Coturnix japonica: one gene and its partners. The protein of the gene in region 1 interacts with the protein of each later gene in a pairwise test. Links are inferred from orthologs where the notes say so. Each region holds a gene or a part of one and is shown in the gene's direction. Other genes may lie near its edges.

Region 1 (3,767 bases):
GTGGCGTTTTTCCTCATCTTTGTTGTTACAACAGTGATAATGGCTTGTGTTGGCGTGATAGTCATGGAAGGTATCGTATGTGTGTGTCTACATATTCCCTCTTCAGCCACAAAACCTTTTCCTTTCTCTTTTCTTCTTCCTGGAGTCCCAGTTGAAGCGTTTGAACATTTCTGCTTGTAGTGCTCAGAACAGTAATCTGATAAACTGCGCTCTGTGCAAGAGGAAATCCTATTTGCTTTCCTGCTCTGAACCCCCGATCACAGCAAAGCCCGTTATCTTGGCTGTGCATAGCTTTCGTTTGTGGTATTTGACGGAAGACGTTGTTACTTTGCCCTCCTCCTCCCAAGTGGAGGCTCTTGGCTGTTCCCCATCAGCTGGTTGATTTCATTTTCCCAAGTGCTTTTACTCTGGGGTTGTGGTCAAACACTGAGTTAGATATAACCGTGTCTATATGATAATCTGTCTTTTGCTTTATTAGGTGTTGTGATCTCCATCGGGGGCATTGCCCTCCTCTGTGTGCTTTGCGGCCTGGGCGCACTGTCACTGGGACTTTCTGGAGTGCTCAGTGTTTGTTACATCGTCCTTTCAGCGCTGGTCAACTACTGGGGCGCCTCAAGGTAACAGCCCGGGCTTTGGTCTGTGCCCTGACTTCAAACTGCAGCTGTACTGTAGCGTTGGTTACTTCCTTTATTTTAACAGTGAACTTCTGGTTCTTTTAATGAATGGCTTTCATGTGCTGGGGCATCTCTGGCTGCTTTGGTGCTTCAGCATTAAATGTAAACACATCAGTATGGATTTTGGTGAGAGTTACATTCACAGAGTGCTTAGAGTTGGAGGGGACCTTTAAAGGCGATCTGATCCATCTCTGCAATGAGCAGGGACACGCACAGCTCCATCAGGTGCTCAGAGCCCACCAGCCCGGCCTTGGATGTCTCCAGCAATGGGGCATCGCCCACATCTCTGCATCCTGTGCTGGGGCCACACCAACCTCATTGTAACAGAGAACTTCTTCCTTATGTCTGACCTAAACCTCTCTGTGAGCCTGAAAAACAGGCATATGTGAACACTCCGTAACATCAAAATGTATCTTTATTGTAGAATTAATATTGGTTTAAACATCCTCAAAACACACTTTCATGCACACCGAGAGGATGCAGCAGTGCTCTTTCTGCAGGGTGCAGTACCCAGCTATCTCAGCTGACCTGCATTTGCAAATAAATGGGCAGAAATGCAGCTTTGGAATAGGAGCATGAGTTGTTAAAGGGGAGAGCGTGGGTGGCTTCGGTAGGAGCGAGTTGTTTTGCTGGATGCTCCACGTGTTGGATTGCTGGCCATGCCTGCACACGCTCCTGGAACTCGGGGCTTGGAGGCCAGACTGGGGAGATTGGTTCCAGCTGAGCTGTGCTCAGGCACGTTGTGCAGCAGGGCCACCTGCTGCCTGCAGCGCATTGAGCAGCAGGAAGGGCTGAGGGGCAGGAGTGAGGAGCAGAGCTGCAGCTGCTCCCTCTGAGACTTTCTCAGCGTGGTCCTTCAGCACAGCAGCATTTTTTGCACAATTCTCAGGAACGTGCAGTTTCCTGTGAGGGTGTTGTACCTTCAGGAAGAGAAGAGTGGTGCAAAGTCAGTGTATCTGCATTGCTGCAGGGCGCTGTAGCACTCCTGCAAGGCCTGCTGCCAGGCCCGTCACTTTGCCCACCGGGTCCAGGAAAGATATCTGTCTCCTGTATCAGGTATTGATGTGCTGATAACCTACACACAGCTTACAGCTCCATGTTGGATGGGCACTGGCAGGTCGCTCTGTTTGCATTCGGTGCCTTTTCAGAGAGCTGTGGAGACAGAACAGCTGTGGATGTTGAGGACTCTCAGACTCACATTTCTTGTTGCTCAGCTGCTCTGGCAGGAAGTCAAAGGACGGCGGTCTGAGGGGAGAACAGACAAAGCTGTTCTTTTCTCCTGTGCAGGAGACAGGCGAGGAAGCAAGAGGTTAATGGAAGTTCACCACAGAAGAGTCTGTCTGTCATGGATTTCTCTGACAGCAAACAAAAGAACAAATAAGTGGGATCGTGTCCATCTCCTTCATCCACACTCCACTGTGCAGGTCTGTCCTTTGCAATGTAATTGTTTGCTTGTCGAGCATCCAGCCTGGGTGCAGTTCATATGGGAGCTGAAAGAGCCAGCGTGCATTGTGTGTAGTCACTGTAACACCAACAGTGGAAGCACCCACTGAGCAGCACATTGTGATGCTGCATGAAGGAGGGGACGTTCTGCAGCTTGGGACAGGGATGCAACAACTGCAGCTGAGTTGGTGGCAGGTGGGTGAAGGGGTGAGGGGTGTTTGCTTTGTTACTCAGTTCTTGCAATTTGTATGCAGTGGTTTGGCCATTTTATATGTGAGCATTAAGGCCCAGAACATCAGAAATGCTTTTGACGGTGAAAAAGTAACTTCTGAGTGCAAACAGCCCATGTTAAAATGCTGTGAGTGTACCACGCTGACACTGTGTGCTGTGAGAGGAAGATGGGTTTCACCATGCCTTAAGTGTGGTATAAGCAGTTACACACCCTCACAGCTGCAGGGATGCTTTTCTGCACTCACTGCCACCTCACAGCAGCAGAATGGGGCCTGCCCTTGTGCTCTGTTGTGTTCTGGGGTTGTCAATGGCCTGTTGTGCTTCTTGGCTGTAACTTCACACTTAGTTTAAACTGGTTCCATTTTTGAAAATGCTGTAATATTTCTAAGCATTATCAAACTGTTTGAGCTTAATAATGTGCTGTTTGTTTAACCACGTTGTCTCATTGTTCTGATTTAGTTCTGAGCAAGAAGTTTCCCTAAGAGTTTCCTTAAGGTTCTCCTTTCAGGCAGGTGCACGCCTGTTCAGTAAGATATTTACTGCAGATACTGCAAAACTTCATCCCACACAGAACATTTAAACTTCCCATTGGCAGCAATAGACAGTGACCAGGAAGACCAAACCAAAACTGAGGCATGTGTTCCTGAGTTTCTCTGTAAGAAAAGGCTGGGCTGTGGTACTGTTCATATAACAGACAGATGGAGAGATCCAGCTAGAAGGTGGAACAAAGGCACCTCCCAGGTACCACCAGGTCCTTGGGATCAGCACTGATGGAAGTCGGGTAAAGGAATCTCACTCAAGTCACCCACTGAGGAATCAACACCTTGTGAGCATCTGCCCTGCAATCTCTTTCCCTTTAGGGATTACAACCAGCTCATCCATAAATGCTTATTGCAGAGTGAAGCAGGGACAGTGGGAGTTGGGCCCCACTCCTCCCTTTCTGCCCTCCAGGTACAGCAGCAGCACAGAGGTGCCCACTCACCCTCATGGTACAGTTCCCCCCATTTACTAGAAGTTGAAATCAATGATAAATAGTTCTGTGGTGACATAAAATAAATAAAAATCCTAACAAGCTTAAAGAAAAGCTTTACTACTTCTTGCCCCAGCAAAGCTCTGCTTGCCTTTCCCATCTGGATGTGCAGTACAAGCACCTCCTACTGCCCTGTGAGCAGAGCCCCAGCATCCATCACAACATCCATCACAGCATCCCTGTGATGCTGGAATATGGGACATTCTGGAGCAGCTTGCAGCACCGAGCAGTGCTTTTACTCTGCTATCCAGCCTGTCATTGGATTAAAAGCAAACACTCCAAACACTCAGTTTTAAAGTGAATCCCATTAACACAAAGCCATTGAGACCAGCACTGTTGCTGGAGCTGACGTTCTCTACCTGTGCCCTCCAGAAGCAGGAGCATCTCCA
Region 2 (4,504 bases), on another chromosome or scaffold:
GGACCTTTTAAAAGCGTTGGTGAAACTGGAGATACTGGTCTGGGTCAGAAGCCTTTCCCTCCCAAAATGGATGCAAGGTTATTTGGAGGCTTTAGGGACCCTGGAAATCCTTTTGCTGCTGTCTTTGGACAAAACAGGGCTTTTCACCAAGATCATTCCTCTGTTGGTGGATTAACAGCTGAAGATATTGATAAAGCCAGACAGGCCAAAACTGAGCAGAAACCGTACAAACAGATGGTACGTGTATGTTTGTGTGTGGATTTTTTATAATTATAGGTTCTTGTTACTGTTCTGGATTATCCATAAGTCACCTCCTCCCATGTTTCTATTATTTTTTCCCCTTCTGAAATTCCCTTATGGAGAGGAAAAGATACAAGTGTCAGTGCTTCTTAACCCAGGTTTCTATGACAGGATCTCCTTTCACATCTACCTCTTATATATCCAACATTCTGATGTGAGAGGATGTTTAAAATGCCTATGTAGGGTTAGGCTTAAACTTGGTGTTGACAGGAGTTCTCCTTTCATTCATTGGACTGTGTGGACTCAGTGTGTTGATGCAGGTTACAGTAATGAAGGATCTGTGTTTTATCACAGTTTAACTGAAGTGTTGAGAGGATGTGGACTGTTTGTAGGCTACAATGCTTTGAAGGCTGCCCCAAAGGGTCTGTCTTCTTGAAGGGCTCTGTCTCCTTTAGCTAATGGTCTTGCTATGGCCATGATGAATGGATTGGATCTACACTTTACTCAGCAAAGACTATGGCTTCCTGTGCTATATCTTGTTGTCCTCAGAAGTGGATGGAATGTTGTCCTCAGCATTAGTAGATTAGAGAGTAGCATAGAGCCCTGAAGCAACAGTTGTGATCTATGTCCTTGTGGGAGCCAACACCAAGAACCCACAGTAGAATTCACAGTGGAGATGCTTGCCTCCTGCTCTAACTTGCCTCCTTCAAACCCACTATCAGATGCTGCTGTGGGTTTGCTTACTCAGGGTATTGCTTCAGTGGTACTGTATGCTTCTGCTTTGGCTGTTTTGTGGGGAAATTATCTGCAGTCCCATTGATCTGATGACTTGCCAAGATTTTTAACTGCGTGTGTAGAAGAGAGTTTAGCATTGGTTGATATTTCAGCGCTTCTCCGAGTTCAAAATTTAAGGGCTGTTAAGTTAAAAGCAAACGTGGACTTTCTAAACATGGCTATCAGCTTTTCTGTCTTTCCCACTCTCTTGTCCATTTCTTGGCTTAATGTGTTTGGTAGCTGTATTTTTGCAGTGTTCTCGCTTGAAGATCTGCCACTGTATATTTGGCTTGCCGTTCAAGAAGAGCTTTCTGTAGCACAGATACGCTCTTCAAGTGTTTTTTGGAGTCACGCTCTGTTTGCAGGTAACTGACTTGTTTGTTTGTTCTCCTTGCCCTGTCTTTCCGTGGCAGCTCAGTGAACGGGCCCGGGAGCGGAAGGTTCCTGTCACAAGGATCGGGCGGCTCGCCAACTTTGGAGGTGAGTTTGCACACCTACATCTGCAAAGGCACCACAGCTGAGCAGGCTGATGGCTGGTTGTGAAAGCGCCCCAGCTAAAGCAGAAGGTGGTTCCATTTTTGTGTTCAGCTTGCTGATAGGCAAGTGCTTTCTCACAAACAAATGGTTTGGCTCCAGAGCTTGATTTGGGATTTTTCATTACCATTACGGCTCTCAGCCTTTAGTCAGAAAGAAGTTACATTTTTCATCCGTCTCTGTTGCTCTTTTATCATATCTAACTGCTGAGCAAGGTAGTACTTGTGTGTCTCCCTTTGCTACTGGAAGTCCTCACTTGATTTCAGTTGTTTTTTTTTGTGCTCAAGATCAAGTAAGTTAAAATAGAATGCTGAGAAGGTCAAAAGCAGCTTTCATTTAACTGTTCCTGGGGTTCAGAAAGCTGAATTCTCATACTCTTGGCACTGTGGCCCTCACACTTGAATTATTCCTCCTTGTTTATTTCTTTACATGTTTTTTCATTGCTCCCAGATGCACTGGGGACCGTTGCTCTCTCTGCTGTGGCATTGAGACATTGCGGGGTGATGAGCATATTAGTAACTGGAGGCACAATTACGTGGACAGCAGAGTTCTGGGAATAAAGAACACACTGCTGGAACAATTAAGGATCTTTTTTTCCTTCAGTGCTTTTTTTGCTCTCCCTGCTGAGCTCCTGTTTCTCTGTGATCAGTGTGAGGCACTGCTGGACTTTGTTACCTATCTGCATTTTCATACATTGCTTGCTGCAGCTGGGGTGACTGCTGGTAGCTTCATTTATAGTTCATTGCAGTCCAAAACATTGCTTAGTGTGTGGAGCCAAGGCCAATAGGAAAAGTACTGTAGGTGACTTGCTGTTTCTTTTCTGTCCCTAATATTAGTTGGTGAGATACATCTTCATTGTATTGTTGTGTGGCTCCTGATGCTCTCTGCTCCCATTAACTGTTTGTATGTTGGATCTGGTTGAAGATGACTGCATTTCAAGTGCAAAAGATATTTGCTCAGCAGTTGTGGTATTTTCACTCTGACCTGCCTCTTATTTTAAAGGTTTAGCTGTTGGTCTCGGCATTGGGGCGTTGGCAGAAGTTGCAAAGAAGAGCCTTAGACCTGAAGAACGTAGTGGTAAGTTCTTTCTGCATCCTCACCCTTTCTCTTTATTCCCCTGCAGCCACTGACGGCTTGCATCACTGTTTGAAAAGCTGTATTATTTTGAATGTTGGGACATTGGTTAGTTATACCTGGCTGCATTATGGTGGCTGTTTCCTACACTTATGCTTTGGTAGGCTGCAGTATTATAGAGTGGTACCGTGTGGGTGAATGCTTTATGGCATAAAAAGTACATGGTGTTCTTCCCTAGAAAATGTCAGATCATTTTAGGCTTATGGTTCAAGGCACTTGATTCTTATCAGTGAAACGTTTTGGTGGCGCGCTGCAAAGTGTGAAGCTGTTAGAATTATTGCAGGAGTTACTGCAGGCTGCGTGGTCTTCGGCTGCTCTGTGTGGTTTGACTCATATGTTTATGTTTAGATTATGTCCAGTGATGAGAAGGAACTGATAAGAAGGATAAGCTTTTGCAGTTAGAAATCTTACAAGTAACTTACAAGTACCCAGCACCTCTCATTTACTCTGTGGCCATTTGTATTGTACTACAAGGCCAGTTTGTGTCTTCCTCACCCTTTTTTAGTAGTGAGGGGCAGATGGAGACTGAGGAAGGAGAACCTCTATTCCAGGAGGTACTGGAGTGGCTTAGAGAAATAAAAACCAACCAACCAAATTACAGTTCTGTTCTTCACTCCCTGAAACAAATTAACAAAACCACCAAAACCTCAACAACGAAAACAAAACAAAAGCAACCCCACAGAAGGACTGACACGTTCCTGGTGCTGGAGGGGAAGGAAAGGGTTGTGTACTGCCCAGGACACTACCTGCTAATGTGCATCTTTGTATTCCCTTACAACCAGGCGATGCAGAGCAGCCCAGCAAAGGAGGATCCTTGGCAAAGAGTTTTCTCTCCATGACCTGAGGTTTTTGAGGCTGGATGAGTTTCTTTGCTTTGAGCGTGCATGTAGGCAAACATGACCCATCCTCCAGACAATACTTGAAATCTTTTGCTTTCAGCGCTTGTGATGTTTGGCAGGTTGTTCGTACATGTTGGAAGTTAATGATTTGCCTTGCTTGAAGCAGAGAAGGAATTGCACAGTTGTTGGTATTTCTCTGCTTGTCAGATTATTGTCTAATTGGGCACACACCAAAGCATAAATGTGAGCTTGCAGAGCTATGAAATATGCTGGAGTACATGAGCTTTGTTTCTCATGCATTCTCTTGTAAACCTCTTGCATAGGTACCTCTACCTCTTACTTCTTTTTTAGCTGTAAACAGGCAAACAAAAAAGTACCTCTGCACTCTGCTGATGACTTCAGCTTAAGGCACTTGTGCCCAGGTTGAGAGATATTTCTGGCTGCCAGTACCATAAGGTCATGTTAAGTCTCTTATCTGAGAATGACATATTGTCCTGTTTTCTGGAAGTTAGTTAATGTCATTTCTCTTGCCACTGCTACACTATATTAACAGTAGTTTCCTGGAACACCAAACAAGCAGGGCACACATATGATCAAAGACATGCCTGAGAATTTCACACTTGCAGTGGCATTCAGGAGTGACTGGAAGGAGTCTTCTCTTGGCTTCCTTTCCTGCTGCTCAGCCAGTACAACTGAAAACATCACTCCTGTAAAATGGGGCTGCAGTGGCAGTTGCTGTATTCAGTGTGTAAGTGCTTAGCGTTAGAGGGGCTGGGCACGGGGGAGTAGAACAAATTCACATGAACAAAAATGAAGCGCTGCCCAGTTAAATATTGCTATTACTAGCAGAAAGGCGCTGTGGAATCAAGGTCAAATTAGTAACTTATTAATGATCTGTATACTAGGCTGTCCTGATAGGCAGCGTGCCGGGCCTGGCAGAGCACAAAGGGCTGAGCTCAGCCCAGGTTTGAACATGTGTGTGT
Region 3 (4,943 bases), on another chromosome or scaffold:
CCAGAGGGTCTCTCCCAGCTCACCACATCTAGGATTCTGCTTTTACATAGCTAACAGTGGTGCTAATACTTCTTTTCTATGGGAAAATAAAAGAATCCTGTCTCTTAATGATGAGTTTGATGCCGAGAGATATTTCTTCAGATAAAACAGTAGCTGTGCAAATAATCTACTTGTATCTCCATGGGACAGGAACTGTGTCAAGAGCAGCTGTTGAGACCGTGTGATACAAACAATAGCAGGAAGATGTGTTTTAGAGCAGCGGTAAATATTCACCCAAGATTGACTTAAATATATATTTGAAGTTCTTTTTATTTAATGTTTTTAACCTGTTCAGCAGTTCCCTATCTTGGTACCAATCTATCATCCTCATCAACATCTCAATGTCCTACAAAAGAGGTCTATTCCAAACCTTGAGCCTGCCTGGACCTACCTGCCTACACTTCATGGTAGATAAATGGTTCTGCTTGAGACGTTTTAATGCTACCTCTGCTTTCTTTCCATTGAATTCTCTGATGTCTTTTTACAGCCACAAAACCTTATTTTCTCCTGTCTTCTTAGTGATTATTTTTGCTAGTTCTGCCCAGATTTGTTTGGGTTTTTTGCTTGCCAGCCTTCAGATTTACGTTCTGTTCCTGGAAGAGCAAGAAAGTAGATTCTTGAGGAGCTGAATATATCAGCTGTCCCACTGCAGTGTGTGGGTGATGCAGGCACTGGGCCTTTATTTCCTGCCTAACCAGAGACGTAACAGTAATGAAATAAAGAAGAAATCCTTTTGTTCATTCTTCTTCGTAACCTTTCAGCAGATGGGATCCGTCTTCCCCCTCAGCTCTGGATCCCAATTCTCATTGCTATTTATTGTTCCAGATCAACTATGTGGAGTTTCTGGTCTGCAGAGATGGGCTCTGATTACTGGCTGCACTCTCCATGTTCACAGGCAAAATGTACAGCTGTTGCTTTGATGATTTAAGAGAATCAATGCTGTCTCACTGTACCAGCTGTTTGGATACCAGCACGCTGCCAACTGGGACATCTCTGATCTGCAAAGTCCTACTTTAGCTCCCAGTTTCTAGGTCAGAAAAGCCCATTTCCATTCAGATCAAGGGGAATGGTTCCCTCTTGCCTCGAGGGCACAATTTCTTCACCACCTCCCTCTATAATGAGAGTAAAGGAGCTGCATTATCAGACCAAACTTCCATGCAGAAGTTTGTGCGTTCAGATCTCGCTCTGGGAGGAGAGTTTAGGGCTCATTGCTGCTGCATTCCCATGCAGCCACCTGCCCTTATCCCGTAAGCTCAGCGTGCCTCCCATCCCGCTGCTCCCAATGAACATGCACACGCCGGGCTCTGCCCACTGGCTTTTTAATGAGCGTGACATCAAAGCCCTCCCTGCTGGAGGAGGGGACCCACAATGCAATAGGCAGGGAGACGTGGAGGCTGATCCCACGGCTGCTGGCATCGCTGCTGCGGTCAGAAACCCTCTATTGTCAGCCCTGGGGGGGCCCGGCCCTGTATGGGGGTACGAGGAGAGACCCAGCAGCAGCAGTGCTGGGTTAGGAGCCGCCTCCTGCTCGTTCTAGAGAGGGGGTGTCATTTAAAGGGGGCGTCCTGCGCTGCTGGGGTTCAGGTGGGGAGCGGGGAGCTGCCCTTTGATCCCTCAGCAGCAGCAGCGGGGCCATGAGCTCTCAGGATGAGCAGTTCCAAGCAGCAGCCCCTGAGTCAGCATCTTCCTCCAGTGATGATGGCATGACCTGGTGGTACAGGTGGCTCTGCAGGATTGCCGGGGTCATCGGGGGCGTGTGTAAGTATCCCCTCCTTACAGCCAGCTGTTCCCCATTGCATGCATGCAAAAGCGTAAGTCAGGGTGTCGTGCTGCTGCTGGTTGGGTCGGGTCTGTGCATGGGGAGGCGGGCCCTGAAATAATCTGTGGGTGTTGCAGGTTTGTAACCTTCCTTACACGTGTGGTTTGCTGTGTTTTGGGCAGAAGGAAGAGCTGTGGGCGTGCCTAAAGCAGGGTGATGTTGGTTTGCATGTGAGTGATGCGCTTTGTGCTTGCTCAACTGCAGCACCTGGGAGAAGAGACGGCATGGGGTGGGGGGTCTGCAAAACCTCGAGTTTCCTATTGGATAACGATCATCTCCCATCAGCACGAGTGATGGAAGCAGCAGCCAAACCCCGGTCCTGCGGGATGGCTGTGGGCAGATAAAGCAGACAGTGTTTCAACAACGAGCATCAGGCTCAGTAGGATCAGGTGCAGGGCTTGAACTGGGGCCACAGGATTTAATTCATCCTATTGGACTGTCAGGTGTTCACATGTTCCTTCTGCTTATTTTCTTACCCTGCTTTGAGTATCAGACCACGTTTCCCATTCCTCCTGCTGTTTATCACAGGGGGCCCTGGCTGTGTCTATTTTTGAAGGCAAATAACAAACTGGGTTTGCACTGTTTGTTTTCTAAGGGGTTTAAGTCTTGGACGTGCAGAAGATGGGAGACAGAGCACAGCAAAGCGAGTTGGCTGGCTGGGAATTACCTGCTGCTGATGAACATTTTCCCAGGGAAAGAGTTTTTGCACCTTTGCCAGGAATCAGCTGTGTTCTGTGGGGAGATTAATAGCTCTTAAAAGTAGGAGGGACTGTTATGACTGCTTAGTCTGATCTCCTGCAGAGCACAGGATGGAGAACTTCTGCTTCGGGTCCATGACTTGAGTGTTAAAACAAGAGTGTTTCTCAGCCAGGACAGTCAGCCCAGATCTATTCCCTCTGCTGCAGTGTTTTGGCTGGTCCTGACCATCACTGTGCTTGTCTCCTGCCTTGACACCTGATGGAGCCAGACCAGGCTGGATACCCAGCCCTATACCCTGAGGCATTGCCATGCAGCCTCCTGCAGCCCTTGGTGGCTGAATGCTGCTCTCAATATGTTATGTCTGAGGTGCTGAAAGAGGCATAAAAAGGGCTGCTCTTAGGAGGTGAAATGCACCAGCTACAGACCCCATGCCTTTGGTGGAGGCCCCACACCTATAATGGAGGCAGGAGGCTGGATGGGACACGTTGGAGGGCAGCTCCCAGAGTAGCAGCTTTGCTATGGGCTGGGGTTGCAACCAGGGTCTCATCACCCATGTAGGGTGAAGATATGGGGTCCAAGATTGCAGCTCTTGGCCCACCCCTTGTGCCAAAGCAGCTCAACCCTGGCTTAGCAGCAGCACAGCACTTTGAAAACAGGTTCTTTTTCTTCTATCTTCAGCTTTTGAAGCAGCTGAGTTCTGCTTGGATTCTATTTGCAACCTTTCCTTCACAGCTTTGCTGAACTCCTGGCTTCTTTTCAAACAGTTTTACATCTGTGGGTGTCTCTGAGCAGAGCAGCCATCCTTAAGGCTGCCAGTCATTCAGGGCATCAGGAACCTCCATGAGGGCTGTCCAGATCCTCCATCCATCCAGGCTGCTTGGTGACCTTGGCTGAGTCCCTTCTCCCCCTTCTGTTCCCTCTTATAAAAGGATGAGAGCCTGTGGCTTTTGTATAATGCTCCAGGAGCAAAAATAGTGTTGCACTGAAGGCACTGAGCAGCTGCTTGGGATGAATAGAGTCATTGTGGGGGGCATTCTTTTTTTTTTCCTTCTTCATTTTAGCTCCCAGTTATTTGTTCTTCCCCGGGGCTTTCGGGATGGGACAGCAATTAAACAAATAGCAGGGCTGCCTCCCATAGCTTACGTGCCATCGAGCGATATCTAAATTTTATGCCTCTTCTGAGCCTTTGTTTTGCAAGAAGTCGTCACTGAGTTGGCAGCTCCGTCCCCTTTTGGCTTATGGAGGCAGGAGCTGATACTGCCCAGCGGGACCAGGAAGTGCCAGGCTGCTGTGGGATGCGTTGTGCTGCAAAGGAGAACGAAGGTCACTGAATCGTTATCTCTGGCTGTTGGCAGCCGCCATCGAGCGCAGTGTGTTCCTGTGCTTACAAAGCTCTGACTCCTTCCCCTCTGGTTGGTGTTTGTGCTGACGTATGGACTTGCTCAGCTCAGGTTTGCTGGGTCCATTGGCAAACGCAGTGAGCTTTTAGCTGGGGTTCCTGCAAGGACCTTTAATGCTCAGGGGTGTTTTGGGGTGTTTGAGGCTGGCACCATGTTCTCTTGTATTTCTGCTCTGTTAGAACCTTGCCCTTGCAGGACTCCTTGAGTTCTGTTGGATAGACCTAGGAATCCTTTAAAGAATAAGAGCAGTGATGGTGTTGTTTTGCAGAAATAGGAGTCTGCTTGTGGGGTGACCTCACAGTGATCCTGGCCTTTACATGCAGCTCAGTATGGTCAATAAGGGAACCTTGAGGATCCAGCAGTGACTGCTTAGAAGAAGAAAACTTCCTCTCTTTGTAGTTCAGCTCCACATCCCAGGGCTGCTTAAAGATTTTAGCTGGCACTTTGTGCTGTTGTTTACTGGGGACTCAGGTTCCTGGGTGAGCAGCGATATCAAGTGCAGGAAACGCTTTGCAAGTTTAATGAGGCGGGAGGTAGGTGTGTGGATGCTGCTGGCTGGTTCCCCTCCTTGCATTACAAATTCAGGAGCACAGGAGCTATTTAGAGCCTGGCTTTAGCCAGCATCCACTTCCACTTTGAGTAAGTGGAGACCCAGACTTGGCTGTTTTTGGCCCATCTCTAGTAGTGATGCACAGAACTGGCAGCGTGCGGCTGTGATGGGCTTCACATCTCTTCTGTTTTCAGTCCCAGCATCTCGGTGCTGCAAGTCATTTCTTTTTGCTGTGCTGCTCAGAGATGTTTGCCTGCAGGGTCCTCCCTCTTCATCCTGGGACAAAGCAGGAATTCCTTTGCACATCACACCTGGTCTTGCAGAGGTGACAGCCTGGCCTCGCTGCATGCTGGGTTGCTCTTTGTGTCAATGAAAGTCTCTGTTCTTTCCCAGCCTGTGCTGTCGCTGGTCTCTGGAACTGCATTACCATCAACCC
Region 4 (4,504 bases), on another chromosome or scaffold:
AGGGATGCTTCACCATTACTCAGAGACATTTTTTTCTTTTAAACTCCATATTTTCAATATGCCTTGTACTGCTTTTTCTCTTCTCACAACCCACTTGTAATACTAATGTTGCAAAATAGGATGTATATTTCCTAAGTGGTTTATCTATTCCAGCTGATGGTTCCCCTTCCTTCTTCTTCAAGCTGGATCCTTTGTTTGTGGCATCTCAGCTGGTGACTGCAGGAACAATCATGATGTCACGGGCAGAGGATTAGGACTTCTGCCAGAGAAGAAAAAGCAGGATTTGTGGGGGTCTTACAGACATGGCTTCTAACTTGATGTGGTGTCAATTAGAATAAAAGGAAGAAAAACACTAGGGAAGCAGGGCAGTATTTGAACAAAACGTGCATTTCCACAGGCATCAGGCTCATCCCTGAAAGCATGTTTTTGTGTTTATTAAAAAAAAAAAAAAAAAAAGATTCTTGGAAAAAGCCCCATCTCATCACCTCTCAAAGATTTAAGTCCCCTCTTCTGGAAATGGCCTTTAACACCCCATGTGTGGAACTCTGCATCTTCCTGTGGAGACACCGTTTTGTGCCAGCCCAGGCAGCTCTGCAAAATCCATCACTGAGAGTACCCTCATCACTGATGTTACCAGTGTTTTGCTGAGAACTGAGATAGTATTGAGGCCTTATTTGCAGAGGTAGCATTAGAGGAGCCAGTGGCAAGACCTTCATGAGCTGCACCCAGGAGAGCATCCTTCACATGACAGAACTGCATCTTTAAATTTGTCCCACACTGACTTCAGATAGGTGACCCATGGTGGGGCTTTAGTGGGTGCTGCACGGGCCTTTTGCTGTGTCTGGTAACAGAAGAGTTTCTCCTTTTTTTCCCCTTTTCTCTAAAGGGAACCACAGGATTTGAAGCACAAATTGATAAGTGCTTGGAACTTGCAGAATACCTATACAACAAAATAAAGAACAGAGAAGGGTATGAAATGGTATTTGATGGAAAGGTACGTACTATAACTGCTTTTTTGCCACTTGGTCAACTGAACCTACAGTAGATACTAGGACGCTACCAACAGGTCAAACCTACAGCATGTGGTCGCACACAGTGCCCTTGTGTTGTTGCTGTGCTGATAATGCTCTTCCTTAGGGGATCCAGGGACAAGGCATAACTTACCAGTTTGCATAGTGTTACCCCACGGAACATAAACAGTGACATCTCAGGATAAAGCAGAACACGCACAGTCAGAACCAGCTTTCAAACAGTATAAAGCAGTTGTCATTTTGTAATTCCAGTGTCTGTTAGGAATGGAGGTTGCAGCGTGACACAAAGCTGGTGCTGCTTGGGCTCATGTGGCAGCAGTAACACCATGTTCCTTCAGACATATCACTATGCAGTTTATTTCCCACACCTCTCACATCACCCCTGAATTTGGTCCATTGAGTCTGATGATGGGTAGAGATACTGACAGCAGTCAGAACTGCTGTAGCTCACATGTTCAGCTGAGAGGAACACAGCAAGGAAAGCAACTGCTGGGAGGCTGCAAAAACACACAAAATGTCAGCTGATTCTGCCTTTCCACTTAGTGCTCCCACGTTAAGTTAAACTAGCTAAGATGCTGTTATGCATGCATATTAATACAGAAGCTAGTGGAATCAAACAGAGCAGTAATAAATTTTATTATATGTACAAAAATGTTAGACTACTTCATGTACCACCTGTGACTACTGTTTACAGGGCTGGATTCTGCATTATACTGTCATGTAATAACAGTTAATGATACGGTCCTCACCTATAAATTATCTCTGATAGTCTTTTGCCTTATCCATGCATTCCCTTCAGCCTCCTGGGGGGACAGCACCTACAAAATCTAGACGCTTCTCAGCAAGGGGTAAATATATTTGCACAGCTGGGTGATATATTTCTGCAACTGACATCCTAGGAATAAATTGCCTAAAATTACCCTTTCTGCATTAATAACGATGATGACTCTCAGTGGACCACGGTAATGAAAACCATTCATTGCTGTCAGAATATGATGCATGAGAGGGGGAGAAGGCATGAGCTTAATTGCAATTGAGATATTGCGAGCATTTCTTACAGTGTAAACTGCTGTTATTCTGTGCTTAGCCTCAGCACACAAACGTCTGCTTCTGGTATATACCTCCCAGCTTGCGTGGCATGGAAGACAATGAAGAAAGGATGAGCCGCCTCATGAAGGTAAGCAGGGTCCCCAGGGTGTCATGCACCGAGCAGCAAAGACCTTACAGCAGGCAGGCCCAGAAATGATCCTCAGGGTGTAGGGTCTGGTCACCTGGCTGTGTTGTGGCAGATGACACTTCCATGGTCATCTTGCTGCTTATTAGTCCGGCACCACTCCACTTTGGCCTCCAAGTTCAGTATTCTTGAGCTGACCTTTAGAGTTCTTACTGGAACCCTGTGTATATTTACTGAGGTTAACATAAACAGCAATGAGTGAGCCCCACAGGCATGGTAATCTGTGTGCACTCTGCCATACAAAAAGAAGATGGAAAACAACTTGTTTTGAGCACTAGAAGAACCAGTTACCATGCGCTAATTGCCTGTGAGCAAAACTGAGACAGTAAGAGGGAAATTCCCCAGCAATTTAAAGAGCAGGACAAAGAATCTGGATAAATCCAGTATCCTTGAAATGAGCCATTTATTCCTTAGCCGTTTATTCCCTAATGGAGGTTAACTGCTTTATCAATATTGGACCGATTTTCACCATAACAGCTTCTTACATCTCTTCATCCTTAAAAAAAAAAAAAAGAAAAAAAGAAAAAAAGAGAAAAAAAAAAGAAAACAACAAACAAAAAAAAACCCTCTGCTTTTTAGTAATAATAATAGTAACATTGTCATCATCCCCTGCTTCTTGTTGAACACCACTGCAGGTGGCACCAGTGATAAAAGCCAGGATGATGGAATATGGGACAACTATGGTGAGCTATCAGCCTCAGGGCGATAAAGTCAACTTCTTCCGAATGGTCATCTCAAACCCAGCAGCAACTAAGTCTGACATAGACTTCCTCATTGAGGAAATAGAGCGCCTGGGACAAGATCTATAATAACCGGGTGTGAAAGGCTGTTCCTGGACCTCTAAGTAGACAATTAAGTTGTCACAAACTGTGCGAATGTATTTGTAGTTTGTTCCAAAGTAAATCTATTTCTATATTGTGGCGTTGGAGTAGAGTACAGTTTAAAATCAAAAAAACCATGGCTCCTTTAAAGTCCTTTCCTGAGTTTTAGAATACCTCGTTAATAATTAGCTGCACAAAAAGCTGCATTGAAACAAATGAGGAATAACAGAAGATGTTTAAAATTTTATCCCAAATTTTAACACAGGAACTACTTTAAATTAAAAGCAGTCAGACCGAATGGTGCCAAATTTGCCCCAGATGGTGACAAAATAAAATTAAGGGAATAGGGAGAGGGTAGTGAGAAACAGTATACAAGCTGTATGTTTAAAAGTGGAAGTATTTTGCCTTTTTCATAGTATTAGAACAGAATTTCTAATTTACCTATAGCAGTATTGCAAATATATTTAAATAGGTATAGTTTTACAAAAGGAAATATATATCTATATATATATATATAAACCCTATTTTATAAAATATATATTTTTGTTTTATATGGGTTATAAAACTGCAAGGACAGAAACTGAAAATTAACTAGAATTCTTTTCTTTTGATGGAGGTGCCTCAAATATTTATTACTGCTTATTTTAAATCACGAGCCCACATACATTCTGAAGAGGTACCCGAACCTCATTTCTCCATGTTACGTGGATTGTAGGTCTCCAGGGTTGATTATTGAAAAACCTCAAGAGTACTGCAGCTCTTAAAACCACTTAGTAAGATCAATTACAGTACAACAATAGGATGTTATTATTCCTAATTATGTTTCCCACTTGGCCTAACTAAGCAGACGCACAATCAATCAACAGCGCTAACCAAGACTGAAATTAGGTTGTATTTGGATGGTTTCTTTGTCCTGTGGTAAAAAAGCCTATCCAAAAAAGTCACATGTCCAAGTTCTTACATCATAACCATTTCTGCTCTGAGCAGTACAAAACTGCACCAAACACGAATTGCCTGGAATGCTTTCCAAATAAAGCTTCATTAAGAGGGGAAAGGCTTCTTACGAATGTACAGGTCTGCAGGATAGGGCCTAAACTAAACACAACCATAATCCAGATGGCAGTATTGGAGGTTGCTAGAGGTTGTTGTTTGAGGTTGAGTAACAAACTGTGTTGTCAGAGGTTCTCCCAGTTCTGGACTACGTCTTTGTTTGCTACAACTTTTGAAATGACAGAAAATGAGTGAGCTTAGGCCGCATCTGCCTAGAACAGGCCATGCGAAGCCTCTCAAGCCTTAGAAGCCGTGGGCATGACTCCTGCAGAACTCATTGCTGCCCCATTCCTCACCATTAGCAGTGGCTCTGAGATGGCAGCTGAAGTTTATCCTTTTTTCCCCTTCTACAGCTGGAAGTGTGGGTA

The links.
Region 2: the proteins of TMEM159 (region 1) and COQ8A interact in binary tests that used the Homo sapiens proteins (3 or more experiments, as listed by UniProt). The two-hybrid records come from large-scale screens. The link is inferred for Coturnix japonica from reciprocal best matches to the Homo sapiens genes LDAF1 and COQ8A.
Region 3: the proteins of TMEM159 (region 1) and CACFD1 interact in binary tests that used the Homo sapiens proteins (3 or more experiments, as listed by UniProt). The two-hybrid records come from large-scale screens. The link is inferred for Coturnix japonica from reciprocal best matches to the Homo sapiens genes LDAF1 and CACFD1.
Region 4: the proteins of TMEM159 (region 1) and GAD2 interact in binary tests that used the Homo sapiens proteins (3 or more experiments, as listed by UniProt). The two-hybrid records come from large-scale screens. The link is inferred for Coturnix japonica from reciprocal best matches to the Homo sapiens genes LDAF1 and GAD2.

Annotation. Positions count from the first base shown.
Region 1 is NC_029529.1:12,763,245-12,767,011, forward strand, and holds the end of TMEM159 (promethin), read left to right. Parts: coding exon 1-70; intron 71-478; coding exon 479-617; intron 618-1,961; coding exon 1,962-2,055; 3' UTR 2,056-2,780; downstream 2,781-3,767. UniProt on the Homo sapiens protein: Plays an important role in the formation of lipid droplets (LD) which are storage organelles at the center of lipid and energy homeostasis. In association with BSCL2/seipin, defines the sites of LD formation in the endoplasmic reticulum.
Region 2 is NC_029518.1:10,749,110-10,753,613, reverse strand, and holds part of COQ8A (atypical kinase COQ8A, mitochondrial), read left to right. Parts: coding exon 1-237; intron 238-1,427; coding exon 1,428-1,494; intron 1,495-2,550; coding exon 2,551-2,625; intron 2,626-4,504. UniProt on the Homo sapiens protein: Atypical kinase involved in the biosynthesis of coenzyme Q, also named ubiquinone, an essential lipid-soluble electron transporter for aerobic cellular respiration.
Region 3 is NC_029532.1:5,465,613-5,470,555, forward strand, and holds the start of CACFD1 (calcium channel flower homolog), read left to right. Parts: upstream 1-1,388; 5' UTR 1,389-1,673; coding exon 1,674-1,797; intron 1,798-4,900; coding exon 4,901-4,943. UniProt on the Homo sapiens protein: Transmembrane protein which mediates synaptic endocytosis and fitness-based cell culling.
Region 4 is NC_029517.1:14,718,040-14,722,543, reverse strand, and holds part of GAD2 (glutamate decarboxylase 2), read left to right. Parts: intron 1-886; coding exon 887-994; intron 995-2,118; coding exon 2,119-2,208; intron 2,209-2,900; coding exon 2,901-3,074; 3' UTR 3,075-4,504. UniProt on the Homo sapiens protein: Catalyzes the production of GABA.